Linked DNA regions of Sus scrofa. The protein of the gene in region 1 interacts with the protein of each later gene in a biochemical or structural test. Links are inferred from orthologs where the notes say so. Each region holds a gene or a part of one and is shown on either strand. Other genes may lie near its edges.

Region 1 (8,411 bases):
TTCACATCCTTGGTCAAATAAGATATTGGTCTTTTTCTAATTGATTTTGAAAGCTCTTTATATATTAAGGAAGCTAGACTTTCATTTTCGTATAGATTGCAAATTGTTTTTCCTAGTTTGTCTTTGCCTAGTGATTTTTATCCATTTTGTTTTTCCATGGAGAAATTTTCTATCCAACTACTTCTCTAAAGTTTTTTTTTTTTTTGTCATTTTTTTCAGCTGATTCTTTTGGATTTTAAAAGATATAAAATCATACCACCTGTAAATGATAGGAATTTTGCTTTCTGGTGTCTTTCTCTAGCTAATAACAATTGTGACAATGTATATCCCTCCGTTGTTCCTAATTTTAAAGGGAGTGCTTCCAAGTTTTCACAATTCAAAATGATGCTGGCTTTGGTTTATGGTACTATTTCTCTAAGGAACCTTCCGGATGCATGGAGAATTTAACAATTCATTCTTGACTATTATTATTCCATGTTTATCAATAGATTCTACAGATTTTCTTCAGTGTCAAAGCACATCATTGGCTTTAGCATTTACGTGACTATTTAGGAATAAGAAATAAAAGCATCCACGACTTTGTATTTACACTGTGCTACTCTAAATCATTCATGACTACTCATCAAAATATTTCATCCCTATCAAGTCCTCGCCTGATATAAAAAAGGCAGGGACCTCACATGACAGATAGGGAAAAACAGAGTCACAAATAGCTTCTAATTCCACCCATCCCCTTCTTCACTGTGGCACTTTGGTGAGTTAGAAATAAAAGTCGGACCTTCTGATCCCCAGTCCGGTGTTTAAGCCACAAGAAAGCACGAAGGCCTTCAGAGAACTGGGCGGATGCCCAACATACAAAGAAGAAAGCCGGCTGCCGTCCACAACCCCCGCTTCACGCCTCTCTCTTCCAGACTCCTGCAAGCAACCTCCAAGTTGGACTCAGGAGCCTAAAACATCTGAAATGCATCACCCAGCAGCCAGCAGAACGGGCTCCTGCTCCGTGATACATGATGGTGCCGACATTCCTCGGCCAATTAGAATTCCTTTCAGCTGCCGTGGAGGTGAACACAGCTGGATTAGAGCGCCGGCCACATCTCCAGACGCACTGCTTGTGCATTAGTTGAGCCTTGTTTTAAAACAATAAAAGGATGTTTCCCCTTTAATCTAAATGTTAATGTTAATCTAAATGTTAATATGGAAACATTTCACTTGGTTGAAATATCTAAATGGATTCGATGTCATCTGGAGACACAACAGCAATTCCAACATTTTGAAAAGCAGACAGACCTGGTCCACGTGGCTATGAGCTTTTGTCTTTTCGACCGGGCTCCGCAGCTCTTAAGGAGACCGGCCTTAGGGACTCTGGTCAGCTCGAAGGAGAGGGCCATGGACAGCAAGCCAATTCAAGGCAAGAGCTTTCGCGCGATAAAATTCACTTATAAAACAACAAGCAGACCAGTAACTGAAGTTGTTTAGCGACCAACAACCAAAACCCGCCATAAACTCACATAATTTTTAATTTGCTACTTGTTTAAAAATATTTAACCATGGTGATGGTTCTGAAATGCCAAAATGTGTGCTTTAAGTGAGAATCCTAAAAGTCAAGGTTTTCTCGCCCAGAAAATCAGAGCATGGCAAAGACACCATTTCCTCCATTTCAGAAGGTTTTTTTGAACTTCCTTTTTTGCTCTCAGCACTCAATAAAATGTACAATTCAGCTATTTTAACTTTTAACCAGTGCCCACAAACATGTTACAAAAGAGCCAGTCTAGTTAACTGGATCACTGAGCTGATGTTGAAATATTATGGGTCAGTCTTTTTTTTTTTTTTGTCTTTTTTTTTCTTTTTTTAATTCAGGAGGAAATACATCTTCACAAGTGACTCAGCCCCCAGGACCTCCCGCTCATCCAATGTTCCACATTCGAGCCGGACGAGGTGACCAAACAGAGCAAATACGAGGAGAAGAGAAGACTTGAAGCTCAGACGTGACTCTCATGGTTGCAAAAAGAGGAGTTGTGAACTGACAAAGAAATAGGCTTGGAGTAAAAAAATATTCTAGTTTGATAGAGCACAATTACTCTAAAAATACAGATAGAAAGCACAAGAAATAGTTCGCTTCTGAAGCCACTGAGGTGGGTCAAGAAGATTGTTTTTCGCCTGTTTGAGAACAATTTTTCTTAAGACAACACAGATGTGACCAAATGACAAATAAAGTCAGTGAGAGACCGTGTGTGTGGCAGAACGTGATTGCTTTTCAAGTATAACAGGAGTTGAAATTTTGCAATAGCATGTGATCCGGCCCATCCCACACCCTTAGATAATTGACCCCAAAGAAGTGCCTTGACTGGACGTTCACAAACTTGAGGCAGGCTCTAAGGAAAATGTCAGGCAAACTCAGGTGCAGGCATTGGTGAATACGGGTGACGGCTTCCCTCTTATCACAGTTCCACTTGCTAAAACAAGAGTTCCGCCTGCCTTACATAGGTCGGGGTCTTTGCTGGTACACACCTACTCAGGCAACATCTTCACAGGTTTCTTAATCTTTCTTAAGGAAAACGTCACTATTTCAAATCAATTAGGTCACCTGCTACTGATAAATGAAAGTTATTAACAACTATTACTACAACCATTTCCCTCCAAGTTGGATCATCTGGAAGCCGGAGGGGGGGGGAGGTCAGCCTTACACGTGCTACAACTTTAAAAATAGTTTCCATTTCCATATGCTATCAAGAAAGGGCTCTCCCCCCTCTCTACTTGAAACTACCTTCATATTACCTTCATATTACACAGTCATGCTCGGAAAAATATAAAAACACCAGGCGATGAGAGGGTATTTCAAGGCATAAAAGCACACAAAAAAAGTTTAGGCATTTGGAATTTCAAATAACTGGTTAACATTAGAATAAAATTTGTTTGACGAGCACTGAACCCCAAGAGTTCAAAATTCCATTCTTTTACCAAAGTGGCCCAAATAATGTATCTGGGATTCATTTGTGCACCACATAAGAACAAGGTTTTGCAAATCCTGCTTGAATTTAAAATAGTTTCCAAAGTGTCTGATTTGCCGGTGCACTCTAAAATATCTGCAAGACAGCTCTTCAGCAAACATCACTTGATTTTGCATATGTTATGCTCCAAACCTACTGAAACCCTTTAAAAACTATTTTCCTGTTAAAATACCACAAAGACATTCATTAAAATCATATTCTTTTCAGTATAAAGACCCAAACATTCTTCTACTGTTTCAGCAGTGCGACATACTACCCAAGAGTTTTCAAAAACCAAAAGGGCTGGGGGTGGGGGGTGGGGGAGAAATCATAAAATGTAACCCATACACAAAAGGAACGCTTGGCTTCAATCAAACAGAAGCGCTGGGTTTTAACAGCAATTCTGAATATCTGGATTGACACTCAACAATAGAAAGCATAAGCCAATGGTAATTTGGAACAAGTAGGGAGCCAAATTGATATGCCCTCAAGAAGGAAAAGAAAAGAAAGTTACCATGGGCTGAAATCTCACTTTGTACATTAGAAAACAGAACTCACAAGGGTCAAATAATTGGTTCTGTATCAGGCAGTTAATGGTAGATCTTACCAGAACGGAGTCTCCCAATTCTAAACCCAACACTCCACTCACCACCAAATACAACTTTTAGTGGTCGCCAACTTCTAACACTCTTATATTCCAGTGTCTTCATACTTTTCATTGAACTATGCTCTCTGGTATCAACTGACTGGTTAGAATAACCCTTGTTTTAAAACATGGTTTCAAATATCACACAAGGAAATAAACTCTGAAACCTGTGACAAAAGCACATACCTCCTGAAAGATGGCTTCCCAAGATGCCAGCAGTGATCCCACTCCCCCTGGCAAGCTCAAAGAAGAGACCAAAACCTAGTCCGCTGCCAACCAAGTATCTGGTTCCAACCTTTCCAAGTAAATTATTGTTCATCAGACGCCTGGCATCAAGCAGGTCTGCATCCACAGCTAAATTCTCCATCTCGCTGCAGGGAGGAGCAAACTCAGGGATTCCCTTCAGATCCGTAATAACATCAGCTGGGAGAAAGGGAAAAGGTGCTTTGGAAATAACTCTCCTCGCGTAATCCTTCAACATCAGACACTATCCAAAAACTCCTTAAAGCATCTCCGAACCTATGGCATCCAAGTGCCTGAGTCCCAAAATAATTTGGGAGGAAGGATAGAGCCCCCACTCCACCCCTTCCAGGAAAAAAAGGCCCAGGTCCCGACCTGCCAACTAGGCTTGATTAAAACATCTACACCTGACACAAACGTTGTAATGAAAACCTAGTGCTTCTAAAACATTAATCACGCTTCCACCCAAACTCACAAAATCAGTTACTTCTGCTTTTAACAAGAAAAGTGAAACCAATCTGATGTCAATTATAGATTACATTGTAAATGAGGACCAAATTAAAGTTGTCAGTAATTGAAGTTTTACAAGCACTACAAAGTCAAAAACGTGGTTTTTATGTAACCATAAAAATAACAATGTATTTATATACTGTATCTACGTAGTGAGCGTTTCCTACCAGCCCTGGAAGAAAGAATTGTTTCTCCAGAAACAAAAATCCCCGAATCTCCCTTTCCTGGAAACAAAAAAAAAAAAATGGGTCATGCAACAACTAAGAACCTCCAAAGGAAATTTTAGTTTGAAAAAATGACCCACTGTTGTTTTCATGGATTTCACCAATAACTGAGGGCCATGCATTTGCCATAAAGTATCCCAAACGCTCACTGTCCTTTGGAAAGAATCTGACCAGAATGACTTTGGAGTCATCATCAGACCAGACACGGAACAGAAAAAATCCAGGGGAAAACCCCTGACAGGGATTAGCCTGAACTTTTTATTTCATTTCCAGAGCTGGAAATATGCACGTTTGGAAAGTCCCCCAGCCGAACTGTATTTGCAGCATTTCATTTCGGCCTCAGGTGGGAATTCAACCCAGGAGACCGGGCAGCAGCCGTGGAGTACTGAGAGAAAGGGTGGACGAGGATGCAAACTGGTCCAGGATCGCTGGAGCCTGCTAGCGAGGGGCCCCGCCAGACGGTTGCCAGCTACGCGCATCCAAACCACCACGTCGCAGGCCCAGAGCAGAGCTTCGCGCTCACCCTTGAAGGTGGCACTACAGAGCCACCTAGGAGACACGGGCATTTCATTGAAGACTAAAAGAGAGTGAATCAAGGAGCCTGCGTTCGTGCAGCCGCCGGAGCCTCCAGAGCGTGCGTGAGGGGGGCGGGGGTTGGCGGTGTTTAAGGATGTCGGGGGGTGAGGGGGTGACGGCGAAGTGCAGGGCAGAAAAGGAAGCGGCACAGTCAAGAGGAGACAGTGGCCTGGTTTGAGAGAGAAAGGAAGTGCACCAGACTGAAGAGGTCTGGACCAGAGGGGAAATGAGAACAAGACCAGGAGAAGCTAGGAGATAGGATTGAGGAATTCGAGGCTGAAGGAAAGGGTGGAGGCGCGAGACGGAGGCAAGGGGGCGGGGCTGGGAGATAAGCGAGGGCGGGACTAGGTAGAAAATGAGGGGCGGGGCTTAGGGGGAAAGTGAGGGGGCGGGGCCAGGAGGGGAGAAGCGAGGGGGCAAGTGGGGAGGGGTGGTAAAGAGAGGAAGGCGAGAGAGCTGATGGGGGAGGGGTGAGAAGTCGGTGGGCGGGGTGGTGGGGGGACCAGGAGGGAGAAGCGGGAGGCAAGGCCGGGAGGGGAGAAGCGAGGGGGCAGGTGGGGGTAGAGACTGGGAAGCGACAGAGGGTGGGAAGGAGAGGAGAAGCAGGGGGCGGAACCAAGAGGGAAAAGAGAGGGGGCAGGTGAGGGGAAAGGGAAGAAATTGAGGGGAAGGAGGGAGTTGAGAAGTGGGGGCGGGGCCAGGAGGGGAAAAGCGAGGGGCAAGAAGGAGGAGGGGGAGCGAAAAGAGGATGCAGGGGATGAAAACGGAGGGGGTCCAAAAGCAGAGAAGCTAGGGGGCGGGGCCAGGAGGGGGACGCGAGGGGCCTGGGGGAGAACAGGGAGCGGGAGCGAGAAGGATGGAGGGAGTGAACCGGAGGGGGCCAGGAGGGGAGAAGAGAGGGGGCAGGTGGAGGGGGGAGAGAAGCTAGAGGGCGGATGGGGGGGCGAGAAGCGAGGGGGCGGGGCCGGGGAGCAGCGAGGGGGCGGGGCCGGGAGGGAGATGAGGGGCACTAGCCTAAGAGGGCGACGAGGTCCTGGGACCACGGCCGGCGTGGGGGAGGGCCACTTCCCCAGGGCGCTCTGCGGGAAATTCCGGGGCTGCCGAGGGGCCGTGCGGGGTGCGAGTGGGCGCTGGGGGGGCGGCGGGGCCCTCCCGCCGGCCGTACCTGTCAGACGGATCTTGATGCTGGAGCCGTTCCTGCGCGTTCCGGGGTTCGACATCTCCCGCCAACGATCTGGCAGCCGCGGATCCAGCGCCGCCGCCCCCCGGCCCGGCCCGGCCCGGCCCCGCCGCCGCCGCCTCAAGGTTACGGCTCCGGGCTGGGCGCCGGGGTCCGAGCCGGGACACAAACTCCGCGGCCCAGGCGTCTGGGCTACTGGTGGATGGTCGAGCTGGAGGATCGGCGCTCGACCCTGCGCCCCCGACCCTCGCTCGCTCCTAGCCGAGCCCAGTCCAGAGCCGCTGCTGCCGCCGCCGACACCACCTCTGAGCCGGACGCCCGCCGCCCTCGCCGCTTCCGCCGCCGCCGCCGCCGCCTCCCGGAGCCGCGCGCGCTCCCGCCGCCGGGCCGGCCCGGCCCTGCGCGCCGCCGGGCCGTGCACCCCCGCGCCTGCGTGCGTGCGCGCGCCCGCGGAGCACGGTGGGGCGGGGCGCGCCGCGCGGCTGCGTCTCCCGCCCAGTCTCGGGCGCGCGGGGTCGGGAGCCGGTCTTCCCGCACCTTGCTGATCCCGAGGCGGAGGAGGGAGGAGGTCGGCGCCCCGCGGCTGGGGCGAGCCCCCTGAAGGCCCGCGGAACCCGGTGCAGTGTGTGGAGCCGTGGCGACTGGGAGCGAGCGCACGGCTCGGGGCGGGAGGGACGGCGGGTCCCGCGGGCGGTCGTCCTGGGTCTTCGCCGAGGGAGCCGGTTTGCAGATGCGGACGTTGAGGTCCAGAGAACGGAATCGATTTTCTAGATCTCTCACTCAAGGCCTGGAGCTCCTGAGAGCTGTCGAAGGGGCGCTTACGTGAAACTGTGGCCTGTTACTACACCAAGCACTTTGCACGAACAGGCACGCAGTCCCAGTTTGGTTTTAGCCTCTAGATAACGCAATTTCAAGGCAAGGACTTCTCCCAGAAACAGTCTCCTGGGTGTGTTCTGGGCGACTGGTGCGCTCTGTTGACCCGTAACAAAGTTGCCAGAGTTGCAGGAAGTGCCATCTAGAGACAAGTAAACAGGAGGCGAGATATAGGGATAAAGAGGCAGATAAGATGTTTGTCGTTATCCAACCTGCAAACAGTTGAGCCAGACAAACCGAAAGGCAGTTTTAGGGCCTCTGTTTCTCTGCCTTCTGCTAACACCTCCCCTCCTTCCAGAGCTGCAAGGTAGGACTAAAAGCTCTTGACGCTTTCCCCAGCAAACTCCTCTGCGTGTTAACCTGTTACGGAGAGGAAAAGCTAGGCTTGTTTATCAAACTGTATTGGAGAGGAAAAGCTAGGCTTGTTTATCAAAACTGTATTTGAACGACTACCTAAGTCTCTGAATGCCTTAAGGCTCTGAGCCCTTGCACCCATCCCCTGCAGCCAGGGACCTTGCTTGGGGTCACGGTCTTCTGAATAGAGCTCTCTTCTTAGAGCCCCTGACATGTCCACCTGCTCTGGCTGAGCTCAGGCTGACTCTCCTCTGGGCCAGATGCTAGGCTGCCTTTTCCAGCCTCTATCAGTGACATAAAAGGACAGGCCTAGATCATTGCTATGGCTCTTGCAGCTCAGAATTTCAATGATTCTAGTGATTTCCAAGAAGAGCTATGTTTAAGCAACAGAGCAGTACCTCCAGAATCCAGCTTTGTTTCTCTCTGTAGGCAATTGTCACTGGGTCCTTGGCTCTGAATAACCCATTTCGAGCCTCGAATGCCTGGAATAATCCCATTCTTCTCTCAGTTTCGTCAGTTTTTCTCCCTCTGCTTCTTTCCCATGTTTAAGGAGTCTTTTCTCTGTCAACCAAACGAAACCTCTTTCTCTGCTTACCTGAGTCCTGGCCCCTGTTCTTACCCCTTAGGTGTAAGGAGTCTGACCTAAAAACCTGGCATTTCTTAACCTCGTTGTTTTCCTACCTTCCTAGATGTCTGAGCCTTTTCTTGACTGTTTCCCAGGCCGCTTCTGGAAGTAACTGAATTCCATTTCATTTATTCATCAACAAGACGTGGTACATATGCACAATGGAATACTACTGGGCCATAAAAAAGAACAAAAT
Region 2 (7,714 bases), about 35 Mb from region 1:
GACTCCCGCCCTGAGAAGCCCACAGCTGCGAACTACGCCTCGTCCGCAACTGTCTCCGCCTGCCTGGGGCTCGTCTGCTGGTTAAAGGGATTCAATCAGGTGGGAAGTCGCACATCTGGAAGAGCACGAGGGATGGCAGCAAGGCCACGCGCTCTCTCAGAGCTTCGTGCCCACACTCCCAGTAATTACCAGCACGGTAACAGGAAAATGGAGGGGAAGGCTGCAGCACAAGAGCCACACTTTTAAAAGGAGCCACCTGCCACGGCAGGTGACCTAGAAATTCAACAGTGAGGAGAATTCGTTGAAGGTCAAGTCCAACAGGCTGGCTGAACAAGATCAGTGTCCTAGAGATCCCGCCATGGCTCAGCAGGTTGACAACCTGACTGGCATCCACGAAGATGCAGGTTCGATCCCTAGCCTCGCTCTGTGGGTTAAGGATCCCGAGGTGCCAGCATCGGCAGTTGCAATGTGACCCTAGACTGGGAACTTCTACGTGCTGCAGGTGCAGTCGTAAAAAGAAAAATAAAATAAAACTAGTGGCAGAGTTCCCTTGTGGTGCAGTGGGTTAAGTAAGGATCCAGCATCATTGCTGCTGTGGCCCAGGACACTACTGTGCTGAAGGCTCCATCCCTGCCCCGGGAATTTCTACATGGCGCAGGCACAGCCAGAACAACAAACAAATGGACAATCGCTGAGTGCAGGTGCTAGAAGGGCTGCTGAAGAGTACAGGCTGCACCAACCTGGCCCAGCTCGGCACCCAGCAGGCAGGTCGGGCCAGGCCAAGCTTTTGAGGCGGAGCCTGGGCCCCAACGCCAAATCATTAAGTAAAAACACAGCCAAAAGAGCCGACCTGCAGCTCGGCTGCGCCGTCCAGGACCCCGATGCCTCCGACCGGCCCTGGCTCCTGCCCTCGAGTCTCCACGCCTTGTGGCCTAGGGGCACCGGAACTGCCGTGGCGACCGCAGAGCTAAACCTCTCAGGGCTGGGCCTGCGCGCCCCCGTCCCCGCCCACGCATAGATTGGCGGCCCTGCTGACCAATGGAGAGCGCCTAGGATCCACCGCTCCAGTCTCAGCGCACAGACTCTGGCCCGCCCAGCCTGCCCGAGCAGCCCCGCCCCCGCCCCACCCCGCCCCCGCCCACTGACCAATGGCGTGAGCCGCCGGGCACGGGGAGCCGCATCATCAGAGGGCCCTTTGCCAACTGACACCAAATTTAAGTGGTGGGGAGCTCTCACTGTGGCCCGGGGGTGACAAACCTGATTAGTACCCATGAGGATGCGGGTTCGATCCCTCGCCTCGCTCCGTGGGTTAAGGATGAGGCGTTACCATTTACTGCGGTATAGATTGCAGACGCAGCTCGGATCCCGAGTTGCTGTGGCTGTGGTGTAGGCCGGCAGCTTCAGCTGTGATTGGACCCCTAGTCTGGGAACCTCCATATGCCATGGGTTTGGCCCTAAAAAGACAAAAAAAAAAAAAAAAAAAAAAAGACCGAATTTAAATGGTGGGTGTGAATCAGCCAAAGTCACACATGCTCACAGTCCCACCAACAACAGGCAACAAGGACCAGGGAGACCCTTCGCAGAGAGACCAGGGGAGCAGCAACGAGTCTGGGGATGCTTCAGCCCGAGGGCTCAAAAGGACCCAGGTGAGCAGGACAAATGCAGAAAAACCCAGGGCCACCTCTACTCTTTCGGTTTTGACAAAGACCTAAGTAAAAGGCTCACCTGCTGTTTCTCAAGTCAGCGACAGGACAAACAGATGTGCATGCATGTGCGTGCACACTCGCGCTCCCCGGGGGGAGGGGCCTGCTCAGACCTGCACCCCGCCCCCCGTGAGGCTCCCCGTCTGGGCACCTCCTCCTCTGGGCGCCCTGTTTGGGGTGAGCCCAGCAGCAGGCCCAGCCCTGGCGCGGTCACGATGCTGGAACGGGCAGGACACTGGCACAAGCCATCCCTGACCACCAGGGCAGACGCGGGGCCCCCTTCTGTGCTTCCTTCAGTGGGAAGCGTCTGTTTACAAAACAAGGGCGCCCAGAGCCCGGAGCCACCCTCCAAGGCAAGGGAGCCCACCTGGCACAAAGCTGGCCACAGGAAGGCAGAGGCAAAAACACTCGGAAAGGGGACAGTTTCTGATAAAACTCAATTTGCTCTCACCATGAAATCCAGCGCTCAGGCCCCTGACATTCACCCAAAGGGGACGAAAACTCAGGCCCACACCAACCCCTGCACACGGGTGATTACTGCAGCTTTCGTCACAACTGTCAAACACGGCAATCAGGATGTCCTCCAGCAGGCGAGTGGGTAAATAAGCCAGACCACCCACGCGGTTCAGCACCAAAAAGAAATGAGCTTCGGAGCCACAAAAAGACACCGAGGAACCGCAAAAGCGTATTAAGAGAGAAAAGCTAGGAGTTCTCGTTATGGCGCAGTGGTTAACGCATCCGACTAGGAACCATGAGGCTGCGGGTTTGATCCCTGGCCTCGCTCAGTGGATGAAGGACCAGGCGTTGCCGTGGGCTGTGGTGTAGGTCGCAGACATGGTTCAGATCCCGAGTTGCTGTGGCTCTGGTGTAGGCCGGCGGCTACAGCTCCGATTCGACCCTTAGCCTGGGAACCTCCATATGCCGCGGGAGCGGCCCAAGAAAAGGCAAAAAGACAAAAAAAAAAAAAAAAAAGAGAGAGAGAGAGAGAGAAAAGCCAGCGTGAACAGGCTGCACGTTGCACAGCTCCAACTACATGGCTTTCCGGAAAAGGCAAAGCCATGAAGATGGCAAAAGCTTCAGGGGCTGACAGGGGCAGGGGCGGGGGCTGGAAAGGACGCGGAGGCAGAGCGAGACCACCCCATGCAGTTCTGCGACAGACACACGTCGCACACCTTGGTCCAAACCCACAGGACGGACCCCACCGCTGAGGGGCCTGGAGTGCAACCACGGACGGCGGGTGGTCATGCCATAGCTTTGGCATCTGAGACAAATGACCACTCTGCTGCGGGAGGCCGGTGACGGGGGAGCCATGCACACGTGGGGACACGAGTGTGCGGGAAACTGCGGCACCTTCCTCTCAACTCTGCTGGTGACCTAAACCTGCCCCACACAAGATCAAGTCGAGGAGTTCTCGTTGTGGCTCAGTGTAGCAAACCCGACTAGTATCCATCCATGAGGATGGGGGTTCAATCCCAGGCCTCACTCAGTGGGTTAAAGATCCGGCGTTGCCGTGGGCTGTGGGGTAGGCCGGCAGCTGCACCTCCGATTCGACGCCTAGCCTGGGACCCTCCATAGGCTGCAGGTGTGGTCCTTCGAACAAACAAAAAGAACACTGTCCTGACCAAATATGAACACTCTCAAGTTAGATTTAGATTTTCTTTTTTTTTTTTTTTTTTTTTTTTTTTTTGTCTTTTTGCTATTTCTTGGGCCGCTCCCGCGGCATATGGAGGTTCCCAGGCTAGGGGTCGAATCGGAGCTGCAGCCACCGGTCTACGCCAGAGCCACAGCAACTCGGGATCCGAGCCGCATCTGCAACCTACACCACAGCTCACGGCAACGCCGGATCGTTAACCCACTGAGCAGGGGCAGGGACCGAACCCGCAACCTCATGGTTCCTAGTCGGATTCGTTAACCACTGCGCCACGTAAGGTTTAAAGACCATGAGGAGGTCCCGCTGTAGCTGCATCCTGGGAGCACTGGGAGGCAGGTTCGACCCCCAGCCCAGCACAGCGGGTTAAGGATCCGGCACTGCCGCAGCCGTGGCAACTGAGGTTGCAGCTACGGCTCAGATCTGATCCCTGGCCCGAGAACCTCATAGGCCAAAAAAGAAAAGAGAGAGACAGTGAGAAAAAGGCAAACGAAAGTCACCTAGGACAGTGTGTCTGCTTCCCACCCCTTAGAGAACATTTCAACCCTCAGCACATCTAGCCCTGTGTTTGTTAGCAAGTAACCACTTTTTCTGCCACGAGAAGATTGAAGACGGGGTCCGGGAGACCAGCGCCGGGAGACTCGCCTGCATCATGGGGTCGCTTTATTAAATGCCAGCCTTTCAGCACCTCGCAGGCCAGGACGGGGAAGGGAGGGGAAGGGCTGCGACCGGCGGCCACAAGCTCCGGCCAGAGACCAAACAAACTGCCAGGAACCACAAGAAAGAGAACCAAGAAACAGGTTTCCAAAGTCCCAGCGACTTGCCAAAGGCACCGCTCCTGGCCTCCCAGCTGCCTTTGTGCCCACAGGCCACGACCATGACCACAGCTTCCGAGTCCCGGTCTGGGCAGGAGAAAGGGGTGGTCCTAGACCCACAAGCGCAGCCACAGGAAGTTCCCACGGGGCTCGGACCGCCTGCGGCACAGCAGCCTCGCCAGCAGCGCTTCCCGACCTCTAGGAAGAAGCTCGGGGGACGACCCGGAATTCTCCACGCACCGACGCCTTTCAACGTCCAGGCCTCCGCTCTCTGAGCCCCAAGGACCGCGGCCACCAGGTCAACACCCCTCTGGGCGAGGGGACACACACGGGACTGCTAAGGGTTGGACGCCACGTGGCGTCCAAGGCAGCCCACATTCCCAGCGCCTTCCGAAGCCACTCGGGTTGGGGCTGTTCTCGCCAAAAGCACCCTCCACCTGCCAGGCTCTGCACACCGTGTGACCTCGCACCCCGGCACCAGGCGTCCCGCCGCTCTGGGGCCAGAGCCGAGGGAGCAGCCCTTTCCCAGGCCAGTCCTCCAGTGCCCGGAGGCGAGCGTGGGACGGCGGCCTCGCGGGGGACTCACCTGAACTCTCTGCCTTCGCTGTACCGTCTACTCGAGCAGGCCCGCGGGGCGGCGGTTTCCAGCAGCAGCAGCGTCTGCGTGAGCCTGCCGGGCGGTGCGGGGTCTCCGGCGGCCTCCTCGTCCGCGCCTCGGTCGCACGTCCACTCCTCGTCCTCGTTCAGCGTGGGCAGGTATCCGGGGACCCCCTTGCCCGTGCCTGCCGCGGAGCCCGGCTCGCCACAGGCCTTGGGGCTCTCGGCGCCCGCGCGCGTGCACTCAGCGTAGATGTCGGACTTGAGGAAGGCGGGGTAGGTGTTGGCCTCCATGCTCGACTGCACCTCGGTCTGCGCCTGGTCGAACATGGCAGGGTCGATCTGCTGCTTGGCGATGCAGTCCTTGATGAAGCTCTTGGTGGCCGGCTTGGTCTGCCTGGACACGACGCCACCGCTGTCGAGGATGTACCTGCGGTAAATTGCTCGGGCCAGCTTCAGCCTCTTCTCCTCGTTCGAGTCGCAGGGCTCCAGCTTCCTGAAGCCGCTGCAGGCGAACCAGAAGTCCAGCAGGTCAGCGCAGTGCTCCTGCCTCAGGAAAGTCCGAAACAGGTTTATCCCGTCCTGATCGTCGAGCAGGGAGTGCAGCGACTCGGCCCACTTCAAGTACGGCGGGGTGGGCGAAGCGCTGCCCTCGGGCTCGTACCCCAGGTCCAGGTCCGAGCGCCTCGGCGTGGCTGTCGAAGTCTCCCCTTTAATCCCGGCACCTTTCCCAGAGCAGAAGCTGTGGCTGACGGGCCTGGGGTCTGTGGACACCAGCTCCCCCTCCTCACCAGGCACTGGGGGCCGGGGGGCATCTTCGGTGAAACTTGCGCCGAGGTCCAAGGGGAAGCCCTGCTCCTGGGTATTCATTTTGGGGCGCTGTGCGTCAAGGCGCAACGCGCGCTGCACCCTAATACATCAGTACTTACGGCTCCCAGGGAATCACTCTGGCCTGTTGAAACCATCAAGAGGACAAGGATTAGGAACAGTGGGGCCATGGAGACACGACCACAGAGGTTTTCTCAGACAAGCCTCGCAACGACGCCCTCCCGCTCAAAGCCAGAGACTCGGCTTAAATTCTCACTCTGTTTTTTTTCCAGAGGCCACACCCACAGCCTGTGGAAGGTCCCGGGCCAGGCATTGACCCCGCGCCCCCAGCTATGACCTGCGCCCCAGCTGCAGCCACACGAGACACTGAACCCACTGCACAGGGCCGGGGAGCGACCTCGCACCACCGCAGAGACAGCCCGGATCCTTAACGTGCTGCGCCACAGCGGGAACTCCCAAATTTTCAATCTTTGTCACCGGTCTTGTACCACGTGAAAACAATGTCTGGAAAGCTTTACAGCTCTAGGCACGCCTCTGGCGCTAAGGGATCAATGTCCCATGCCACTAGCTACAAGCGTCATCCTGCGAGAACAAAGAGGGACGGAAATAAAGCCCTGCCAGCATACAAACAGCAGGCGTGGATCTCCCCGCCACCCCGCCACCTGCCCCCATGCCTGCATGCGCACATTGCACACACTTTGAGGGCCGGCAGCTGTGGGGGGCTAGAGGAAGCACCCAGAGGTGGAGGATGGGTCACGGTTATGGACGGCTCTGCAGCTCATGACTTTCTATGAAAACCACTGGCAGGCTGAAGGGCTCAGGCTCAGCAGGAACAGCCTGCTTCTTAAGGTCAAAGCCCATGGGCTATGACACCCTGCTGCTCACGGACCACTGAAACTGCCAAGGTGCTTTTTGTCTGAGTGCCATCAACACGAACTGAGCACCTTTGGTGTCCCAGCTCCACAGCTGCTCGCGGCCATCCAGGGTTCTCCCGTCAAGGACACCAGCTCAGGAAAGAGGACCCACCCCTGGTCCCTGAGCCTCACCCTTGCAGGGATCCGCCAGCCTTGAGAAAAACACATCACTGTGTCTGACTGGGAGGCTAATTCCGAGTCACCGTCACTTTCTCTTAAAGTGCCCCTTTCTGCCACAGGAGTGGTCTGTGGCAGCCCGAGTTAAACATTTTCTGCAGGACTCACAGCATCTAACACAAGGTCCTGCAAGTAATGGGCACCAATAAATACTTACTTCATCGCCATTAAGGAAAACACCACCTACAGACGCTGAATGTTGGCTCTTCGCAGGCACTGAAGGACTGTGCTACAGAAAGAGCAGCCAGTGAAAGACTTAGTCCTCTGTCATGAAAATGCACTGCTTTAACGGACTAACTTTTACTTCGTGTGTGAACAAGCCCCCCATGTCACTTAAACTAGTTTTTCCTAGCCTAGAAGGAACATCTTAAAATCCATACCTATGTTCCGCTGTCAACGGACAGGAGAACTTCGGGGCCTTGGAAGCACGAGAACCTCGCTCCCAGTTCCTGCTGGTGCTGAAACACGAGCCCATTCCCGAAATGTCTGGGTTCCCACGGACAACTGCAGCGCACGTCGGGTGTGTGTACCACCCGTGAGGCATTTACATCCATTGAGGTCAGAGTCCAGTCCCCACCGACACTGACTCTGGCCCACGGTCTGTAGCCACCATCAATAAAGGGAAGCCACAAAGGGAATCGGAAACCCTGACACCTCACCGAAACGCTCCTTCGGTCCCTGCCAGGCATGCCTGGGCACCACGGCAGCTGCCTCGGTGCTATAGGTGTGTACGTACGCATTCATTTCACTCAAATATACCATCTGAATTGTTTTTTCTTTTTTCAGCCACACCCACGGCACACAGACATTACCAGCCACGGATGGAACCCGTGCAGCATCTGTGACCCATGCCAGAGCTTCGCCAACGCCCACTCCTTCACGCACTGCAACGAGCCTGGGATTGAACCAGCAGCGCCAGAGACAAGCCAGATCATTAACCCGCTGAGCCGCAGCAGGAGCTTCTTAGGTTCGAGGCGCGCAGAAACAGCAGTGCGACTCTGACACGTTCCCGTCGGCCCATTAATTAAACTC

The links. The genes of interacting proteins can lie anywhere in the genome.
Region 2: of the proteins of SMURF1 (region 1) and AXIN1, one has a biochemical effect on the other in vitro, tested with the Homo sapiens proteins (2 studies listed by BioGRID, with this or other methods). The link is inferred for Sus scrofa from reciprocal best matches to the Homo sapiens genes SMURF1 and AXIN1.

What each region holds. Positions count from the first base shown.
Region 1 is NC_010445.4:6,135,848-6,144,258, forward strand, and holds the start of SMURF1 (E3 ubiquitin-protein ligase SMURF1), read right to left. Parts: upstream 5,532-8,411; 5' UTR 4,115-5,531; coding exon 3,820-4,114; intron 1-3,819. UniProt on the Homo sapiens protein: E3 ubiquitin-protein ligase that acts as a negative regulator of BMP signaling pathway. Mediates ubiquitination and degradation of SMAD1 and SMAD5, 2 receptor-regulated SMADs specific for the BMP pathway.
Region 2 is NC_010445.4:41,346,118-41,353,831, reverse strand, and holds part of AXIN1 (axin-1), read right to left. Parts: exon of another isoform or gene 5,716-7,714; 5' UTR 5,634-5,715; coding exon 4,753-5,633; intron 1-4,752. UniProt on the Homo sapiens protein: Component of the beta-catenin destruction complex required for regulating CTNNB1 levels through phosphorylation and ubiquitination, and modulating Wnt-signaling.